Saccharomyces cerevisiae S288C: one gene and its partner. Changing the gene in region 1 together with any one later gene gives a genetic interaction. Each region holds a gene or a part of one and is shown on either strand. Other genes may lie near its edges.

Region 1 (5,446 bases):
ATACAAGTTAGTTGAGATGAAATAATCATCTCCACGTTCACGATTTAAGGCTAAATTGGAATGCGGCTAAAAAAGAGCGCAGTTACAAGAAAAAGCTACTATTTTATTATGCACGTGTGATAGCATTATCTTCAAGAATAAGCTCAAAAAAGAAAATGAGCTTAAAAAACCGCCTTTCCAGATAATTGAATGTAGCATATACCTATACATGCTTACCATGCCAAAAATATAACGGAACCACTACACATATCGGACCGTATTTTTATGGTTTATCAGTAAGGCCAACCATAAACACCTCAATGTTGGGGAGTCTGTCCTCGGCAATCAATGACGATGCCATTTCACCCTCATTCGAGTACTCGCTAACGTAAGAAAAAGGCACCCCGCAATGGGGTAGATCATACCCTAAAATGTTTCCTAGGTAGAAATAATAGTTACTAGGTAGGACGAAGGCAAGTACTACATAGCAGTACGGTTTCTGAGTCAGTAGTAACCCCTCAAACTTGCTCACACTTATCTTACCAAAAAATGGAGACGGACAATCAAATCTGAATTAAAAACACCGTCGCTTAACTGAATCAGAGAGAGAAGTTGAAACCAATGGTAGGAAATCAATCTAAAATAGAACACTTTAATTCTTAATAAAAAGAGGGGAACAACTTATTTTCTCCATTTGGCCTCGGCAACTTTCAGGGGGGCTTGAACGTATATACCGATCTACGTTGGAATTGACTGCTACTTCGTTCCACTAACCCAACTCAACAAATAAGCCTTGGAACCGCTGCAAGATTAGTCTATGTGACCGTGCCTTTTTTGCACTTTTAGAGAAACAGTGTTAAGAACTGTAATAACTGTTCAATTCTAAGCACTCAAACCGTGCTTGTACATATGCTTCAATGGCCTGCTCGATAGACCGATCACGTTTAATTTTTCTTTAATTTTGCCAAGGGAACGTTCTTTTCGTAGGCACCGCAATTTATTTCTAATGGATAAGTTCTGAATTTTGCTATGAATTAGTTAGTAGGGCCTACTAAAATGGCGTGGTATTTTTAAAGGGCCTTTACCAGCCACTCCTCAACAGAAAACCGTGCTCGCGTTGCAGAAATACGAGGTAGACACGCGCCTTAGGAACATAAAAATAAATATCTCGCGCTCACGGAAGGCAACCACTAACTCCTTTTCATCGAAAAGTGAGGTGTAGCTTACTAAAGCATTCCTCTTTATCCAAGTCGTATATTTTTCTTTATACTGCTAGTTCATTCTGAGCGGAGATTCCTGGCTAACTCTCCAATTGGAAATAAGGTAATAATGACTTTTCATGACGAATTGGGTGAAAATGCTTGGTGCTAGGCCCTGTGTTGTGGCTTTTTTCGGTAATAGTTTAATTTTCCAAAAAGGTTCCTGTGACTATCTTATCAAAGTAGCTTAGACCACGTCCTGCACGGTTTTGCAGACTGCTTAGGGGGTCTCTTGTTGTTATTAGCAGCGGAATATCTTTGTTTACTCATTAAAATGCCCCCCCGTTCGTTGCAAGGAACGCGCGCGCACAGAACTTGCGGATGCTTCCGCAGAAGTGCCCGTAGGAGATTTAAGCTAGCCCAGCGGTTAATCTACGCAGTTGCGTATTCGGAGTCCGCTCACACTTGCAAAAAGCATATAAAAAGCTTCATATTCATCTCATTAGTATCGGTTCTGCCATCCCATTATCTTAGGTTTATGCCTTTTCTGGTTCTCAAGTCAGTAACAACAAATACCCATCGTTGATTCTTTTTGGTAAGATCTCGCCTGTCAAAGAGATGTTCAATCGCTTTAATAAACTTCAAGCCGCTTTGGCTTTGGTCCTTTACTCCCAAAGTGCATTGGGCCAATATTATACCAACAGTTCCTCAATCGCTAGTAACAGCTCCACCGCCGTTTCGTCAACTTCATCAGGTTCCGTTTCCATCAGTAGTTCTATTGAGTTGACCTCATCTACTTCTGATGTCTCGAGCTCTCTCACTGAGTTAACGTCATCCTCCACCGAAGTCTCGAGCTCCATTGCTCCATCAACCTCGTCCTCTGAAGTCTCGAGCTCTATTACTTCATCAGGCTCTTCAGTCTCCGGCTCATCTTCTATTACTTCATCAGGCTCATCAGTCTCCAGTTCATCTTCTGCCACTGAATCAGGCTCATCCGCCTCCGGTTCATCCTCCGCCACTGAATCGGGCTCATCAGTCTCCGGTTCATCTACTTCCATTACATCAGGCTCATCCTCCGCCACTGAATCGGGCTCATCAGTCTCCGGTTCAACTTCTGCCACTGAATCAGGCTCATCCGCCTCCGGTTCATCTTCTGCCACTGAATCAGGCTCATCCGCCTCCGGTTCATCTTCTGCCACAGAATCAGGCTCATCAGTCTCCGGTTCATCTTCTGCCACAGAATCAGGCTCATCAGTCTCCGGTTCATCTTCTGCCACAGAATCAGGCTCCGCTTCTTCGGTTCCTAGCTCATCCGGTTCTGTCACAGAATCAGGCTCATCCTCATCAGCATCTGAATCATCTATCACACAATCTGGTACCGCTTCCGGTTCATCAGCCTCCAGCACGTCCGGTTCTGTTACACAATCTGGTTCCTCCGTTTCCGGTTCATCAGCTTCTTCTGCTCCAGGTATCTCGAGTTCAATTCCTCAATCAACCTCATCGGCTTCCACTGCCTCTGGTTCTATCACCTCCGGTACCTTAAGTTCTATTACCTCTTCGGCTTCTAGTGCAACTGCAACTGCTTCCAACTCTCTTTCTTCCAGCGATGGTACTATTTATTTGCCTTCTACAACCATCAGTGGTGACATCACACTCACCGGTTCAGTCATTGCAACTGAAGCTGTCGAAGTCGCTGCAGGTGGTAAGTTGACCCTACTTGATGGTGACAAATACGTTTTCTCTGCTGATTTCATAATCCATGGTGGCGTTTTCGTAGAAAAGTCTAAGCCAACTTACCCAGGTACCGAATTCGACATTTCTGGTGAAAACTTTGATGTATCTGGTACCTTTAACGCTGAAGAGCCTGCTGCTTCTTCCGCATCTGCCTACTCCTTCACTCCAGGCTCTTTCGATAACAGTGGTGATATTTCTTTGAGTCTATCAGAGTCCACAAAGGGCGAAGTCACATTCTCTCCCTACTCTAACTCTGGTGCTTTCTCTTTCTCAAATGCTATTCTCAATGGTGGTTCCGTCTCTGGTTTGCAGCGTAGAGCTGAATCAGGTTCTGTCAACAACGGTGAGATAAATCTTGAGAATGGCAGTACCTACGTCGTTGTCGAACCAGTTTCTGGAAGTGGTACAATCAACATCATCTCTGGCAACCTTTACTTGCACTATCCAGACACCTTTACTGGCCAAACTGTTGTATTCAAGGGTGAAGGTGTTCTTGCCGTTGACCCAACCGAAACCAACACTACTCCTATCCCTGTGGTTGGATACACTGGTGAAAACCAAATCGCCATTACAGCAGATGTCACTGCTCTTTCTTACGACAGTGCTACTGGTGTTTTAACTGCAACACAAGGCAACTCACAATTCTCCTTCTCTATTGGTACTGGGTTCTCCAGTTCTGGCTTCAACGTCTCCGAAGGAACATTTGCTGGTGCCTATGCTTATTATCTAAATTACGGAGGTGTTGTTGCTTCCAGCGCTACACCCTCATCCACATCTACCACATCAGGGGCTACCAACTCTACTTCCGGTTCCACTTCATTCGGTGCTTCCGTAACTGGTTCAACCGCTTCCACTTCATTCGGTGCTTCCGTGACTGGTTCAACGGCTTCCACCTTGATTTCCGGCTCCCCATCTGTTTATACCACAACATTAACATATGCAACAACCACAAGCACAGTAGTTGTCTCCTGTTCAGAAACAACTGATTCGAACGGTAACGTCTATACCATTACCACAACCGTACCATGTTCATCTACCACCGCCACTATCACTTCTTGCGATGAGACCGGATGTCATGTAACTACGTCTACCGGTACCGTCGCCACTGAAACCGTTTCTTCCAAATCATACACCACTGTTACCGTCACCCACTGTGACAACAATGGCTGTAACACCAAGACTGTCACTTCTGAATGTCCTGAAGAAACTTCAGCAACTACTACTTCTCCAAAATCATACACTACTGTTACCGTTACTCACTGTGACGACAACGGCTGTAACACTAAGACTGTCACCTCTGAGGCCCCTGAAGCCACAACCACTACTGTTTCTCCAAAGACATACACTACCGCTACTGTTACTCAGTGCGATGACAATGGATGTAGCACCAAGACTGTCACTTCTGAAGCTCCTAAAGAAACTTCAGAAACTTCAGAAACCAGTGCTGCCCCTAAGACATACACTACTGCCACTGTTACTCAATGTGATGACAATGGTTGTAACGTCAAGATAATCACCTCTCAAATACCTGAAGCTACTTCAACCGTCACCGCAACTAGTGCTTCTCCAAAGTCATACACTACTGTCACTTCTGAGGGTTCTAAAGCAACCTCATTGACTACTGCCATTTCCAAGGCTTCTAGTGCAATTTCCACATACTCCAAATCTGCAGCTCCAATAAAGACCTCTACTGGTATCATTGTCCAGTCCGAGGGTATTGCCGCAGGTTTGAATGCCAATACTTTGAATGCATTGGTCGGTATTTTCGTTCTTGCTTTCTTTAACTAATTTTTTTAACTGAGGAATTAAAAGTTTATTCCTCTGAAACGAGATAGGTTCTTAATATGCGTTTTATATACGCTTTGTGTAAACAGTTAAGTATTTTTTTAGCTTAATATTTGGATTTTTTTTATTTTTTTTATTCTTTTTGGATGAAATGGTTCCCTCTTCTGCCAATGAAGGGGAGACTAGGTTGATGTGTACACATCGTACACATTTTAAGGACACTTATTTCACTTATTGTCCACAGTAAAATCGTTCAGGCCATAATTAAATGCGAACTTAAGAGAACCTAAAAGTACCTCCCAACTTTTATAGTGGAGCTTCCGCTCTTTGGTCAGAAAAAAATCGAGTTCTGAACACTTGGCTTTATATTACAAATTTCTCCCTTCCAAGAAAGACAAGGGGTGCTTATCGCGACATGTCTCACAATAAACTTTATTATATTTATACTTTATTTATTAATAAGAGTTTCAAATAGGATTCTTGGAGAATTTTCAAAGCGTTTTTGCGTATAAGAAACTTTTCGGTTTGGCTCTTATCAGTTTACTGCCGATCTTTCTTCCTCACTGCTTGACCTGCCACTACGGAAGATCTTACCGACAATGATGTGAGCGGCGAGAACAAGGGAAATCTCGTAAGAATAGGAAACAACCTAACCTCATTTACTAAGAGAACCCGCAGGAAAAGATATCTTTTTGAGGCACAATTTTATGACCGCGTGTTTTCGAATTTTGACAGGGATCATGCAGGCA
Region 2 (4,468 bases), on another chromosome or scaffold:
CTTTCCAAATCTACGCATTTTTAGAGCTTTTCGTGAATGTCGTTACGCTGCTCCCTGACTTAACAATCCCGTTAGGGTATCTACTTCAGAGCAGATTACAATATCAAGAATGTTGTTGGTAGGTATTTGTAAACTTGAATTAGAATCCAAAAAGCCTTTACTAGGAGCTATTTTTAATAGTGTTTATGTTTTTCTTCGAGTACTCTATGAGATGGAAAATTGTCGCCTACGAAAATTTAGTACCTTCTCTTTATCCCAGTGACAAGTTATGCATGCTTGTTATACGATGTTAAATCTTCACTTAAAATCCTCTGGAGATGTACCGATTCCGGTAGGTTTCACTCGAAATTTAGCATATTTCAGTTTGGTTTCCTAACACGACCAGTCGCAGGTGAGAGTCTTGGAATTATCCTTCAACACTGTGTGTTATTGTAGATCAGTAATTAAAGATCAGTGTAGTATTTTCAAATATTCTTTACTTCAGTAAGGACAGAATTTGTAGTGACATTTAATGAAGAATAACAAAGGGATATGGATGTCAGGCGACATTACTCGACGTAAATTACTCTCACGAAGGCAAAAATATAACCTAGCCATTGAGTCCTAACCTACTATTAGCGAGATCTTTCTCATTTCGGCTTTAGAGTGTTCATTTTAATACGATGGCCAAAATTAAAAAAATTCGGCCATCAGACCTTGTCGCTTTACTAAGAAGTTATACGGATGAAGATGAATTACTTGAATAAAGATCTTCACTCACTAAATGAAAACATCTGCAGCACGTGCTTGTTATGCTTAACTCCTTGTAAAAATAGTGTATTTCAAAAAATACGCAGTGACAGAGTAAAGATACCCTAACTTTTGTCCGTTGTCCTCCGGTTCCATCATTGCCAAACTAAAGTACTAAGACCATTATCGTGGGTAAGATCATACATTTAAATAAAATAAAAGATACGTAAGCACCTAGATTCCTGGGACAAGCAGCTCAAAATATTTGTTCCTCTTTCCTGTATGAACTGTCAATGCGTTGCTGCTTCGCTGCACGTATTAAGGATTTTGATGGAAGGTCCAACAAAGAAAAAGAAACGTGCGCTTTTAAAAAAAGAAGCTTTTCCTACCAAAAGTTCTTTGATCTGCTTATTCAACGTAGCATCTTATTCGCATACATTGGACTCATGTTTAAGGCATTCTAATCACACCAGTTTCCTTGCATATGAGCAAATATCTGTGCTTGCTGTTCTAACCATACGTACTACTACGTTGATTGGATTATAATGTCCTTTGGGTATTCTCCGATTACGTTGTCCCATTTTTCTTTTTTGCCTTGTTGCGAAGAGCGTTGTTCCGAAAACCGGGTGCACTTTTTGTTCACTTTATATATCCCACGAGGAGACTGCGCGAACATGATATGTTTGACCTGGCATAGTGCTATTGTTCATAAACAATAAGCCCCCTAAATACCTGCATGTACGAAGGTGTACGTACGGTCATTCGCATTTCCCTAGCATTACTTTCAGTACTGGACAGGTTATTTTTACCCCTCTAGTTTGCGACTACCACTAAATGGGCCATTTTTACGTGTCTACGACATATCGCAAGGGTTTTTTTCTTTTGTCTTATTCGAGTAATTATATAAGCGCGCGTAGTCATTTTTTTAGCGAGACCCTAGGGTCCTGTAGCAGTAATTTGAGGTTTTCATGGCTCGAACAACGACAAAATATTGAGGAATCTTGAGCCTTATTGGGGCGTAAATCACACAGGTGTTGAATGAGCTTGGAGCTTGTGCGGTTATGTATTAGATATGGGCAGTTTCCTTTAACGTTGGCGCCTCTTTCTTTCCTACCCGTGGGGTTGCTCTCGAAACTGATTAGGTCATGAGCATTTTTGCTGAGTCTTTTTAGGAAGCAGCATTTTTCTCAAACGAAAAAAAAAAAAACCAAAAAAAAAAATAAAGACAAAAAAACTATATAATGCTACTGGCCTTGAACTTGCTTGGTAGAAGCCTTCTTAATTGCACCCATTAGTTTAGCATCTACCACATCTTGATTCGATGCTCTTCATTTAGAAATACTTGTTTATATAAATATACTTCACACGGCATGAATTAATTGATAGGTAAGTAAGTTTCTTTTATCATAAGTCAAACAGTATCAGATATAAGAAGGGAAAAGGTAGATATAGAAACCTAATAAGACCCTTATTATTAAACATTCGTTAATCAAATTATGGGTAAAATTGCAGAGTTTCTCGGGAATCCAGGTGCTAGGCCTGACGTTCATCATAGAGCACCTACTGTTGACTGCAAACAGTACGAAGAATTCGGTGATTCTAACGATTACAAAAATGATGATGTGGTCAGAGTAGTCAGCCATAGCGATGAGAGTACTGATGACGAACTTTGTAATGTGAATTTAACAGAAACAGGGGCAATCTTCACGAGTAAAGGTTTTACCGGGTTAAGCAAAGGTTTCACAGATAAGACCCTGGATTTCCTGGTACGAGTGGCCGGTTCGCAGGCGGTTTTTTTTATTGTTTGGATCATCCTCATAATTTGGGTGGTTATTGGTATTGTTTATAACGCACCTTTCAATTGGCAAGTTGTTATGCAGGACGGACAGTCTATTCAAAGTTATGTTTGGGACACACTGTTGATGAGACAACAGTTGATGAGTACGCATGAACAAATTTTGATCTGCGGTAGATTGAAGTCGAGATTGGCTTCCTTCAAAAACTATCTAACAAGAAGCACCCCAGAGGAAGAAAAAGCAGACTGCACAGTTGAAGCTAATGAAGTCAGCTCTGTTGAAAATCATATAGACCCATCTGCCATTAACGGAGAACTGCCTGTGGAAAATTGGTACGACCGTTTATCTAACGTAGCAAGTAGGTATATGGGTTCAATTGCAGCAATGGTGATATTTTGGATAGGTATTTTCGTTTGGATTGGTTGCGGTGCTATCCCAAAAGATGCGGGCAACACTCCACCTTACACCGGAGAAACTACAGGTAGTAATCCAAGATTGAAAAAGTTCAGTGACGCTTGGCAGATGTATATTAACACTGCAGTTGCAGTTTCCCTTCTAATTTGCACTACTTTCTTACAAAATATAAGGGCTAGACATGATTATTTCACGGGGAGGTTTTTAGTTGATATCTTTGATATGGACGAGAAAATCGACTATCGTATAAGAAAGCATTTTAACGATTTTGAAACACCTCACCCAGTTGTTACTATTGAATCTAAAAAAAGGTCGACAGGGAGAAAGATGATTGATTGGTATGCTGATATTATTGGTACTGGTATTGGTGTCCTGATTGGTGTGGCAGTGTTCGCCACATGGATTGGTATTGGTTCGCCAATGAAGTGGGATGATAATTGGTGGTTGATTATCGGTACATACACAGGTTTAATTGGGTTTTTGGACGGTTTCGTTTTGAGAGAAGTGTACTTCCGAATCGTTCAACATGAAGAGAAAAATTATTCTGATGTGGCTAAAGAAGACCTTGAATTATTCCAAGAATTAGGTATTGAATGTCCCGAAGAATTTAGTGGTAAAGCTCCTGAAATTAACACTATTGGTTACAGAACATCCCAATATATTAATAGGATCTGCTCAACTCCATGGAGTGTTCTTGTATCCGTCATCATCATCATTGGTTTAATTTGTATTGCTTCCGGTTTGCGTTGGAGTACAACAGGTCAATTGATTGCTAACACGCCAACTATGATTATCGAAGAATTTTTCTTGCTAGTTTTGTTGCAAGCACATAATTGGGCCGATCGTCAAAGAAGAGTGGAGGTTACCGCTTTGTACGCACGTAGGCGCATACTTCTATCATACGTAGAAAAGCGTTTCCCAGAGGTTATGATGTTGGAAAAATAGCTTCATTGAACATTTTAGCATTAGTGGGAAGAATTCCTCATGTTACTTATGAGGGAGTTAATTTTCCTTAGGGATTTTAGGAATTTCTATACGGAGGTAGCGATCGACCTTAGAACTTTTATTTAGTTTGTACATATACCTCACCTGAGTTTTGCTTTTTTCTCTGGGAGCCTAAACCATTTAAAATGATATATAATAGATAATAAATCCAGGATAAAATGTGGCTAATTGATCTTTTTTCATTTTCAACTTGGTAATGACGTACTGGATACTTTCGACGCTCTTTTTTAGTCCCCGATCCCCGTCTTCCAGGACCTTGACGTGGAATTCCGATCACAGCCACTCTCGTCACGGCTCCGTTAAAATGAATGGTTTTCCGTTACATTTACTGGTCTTTTTATCTTTTTACAGTAAATGGGTGATATACTGTGACACAATTTGTGTCTCTACTGTGTGAACTTCCATTGCTGACTAAAGATTCCCCGCTCCGCTTATATGTCCGGTCCGTCCTTGACCGAAGATCACATTGCCAATTTTTCACATCTGGAAGCGATACGACAATATAGGAGAAAAAGAAAAGTGAA

The links.
Region 2: mutations in HPF1 (region 1) and FET4 together harm fitness more than expected from each alone (negative genetic interaction), as found in Saccharomyces cerevisiae (one large-scale study listed by BioGRID).

Annotation. Positions count from the first base shown.
Region 1 is NC_001147.6:27,957-33,402, reverse strand, and holds HPF1 (mannoprotein), read left to right. Parts: upstream 1-1,796; coding exon 1,797-4,700; downstream 4,701-5,446. UniProt on the Saccharomyces cerevisiae protein: Involved in cell wall organization and biosynthesis.
Region 2 is NC_001145.3:912,296-916,763, reverse strand, and holds FET4 (Fet4p), read left to right. Parts: upstream 1-2,225; coding exon 2,226-3,884; downstream 3,885-4,468. Other genes in the region: YMR320W (uncharacterized protein), read right to left, coding at 1-18. UniProt on the Saccharomyces cerevisiae protein: Required for Fe(2+) ion low affinity uptake.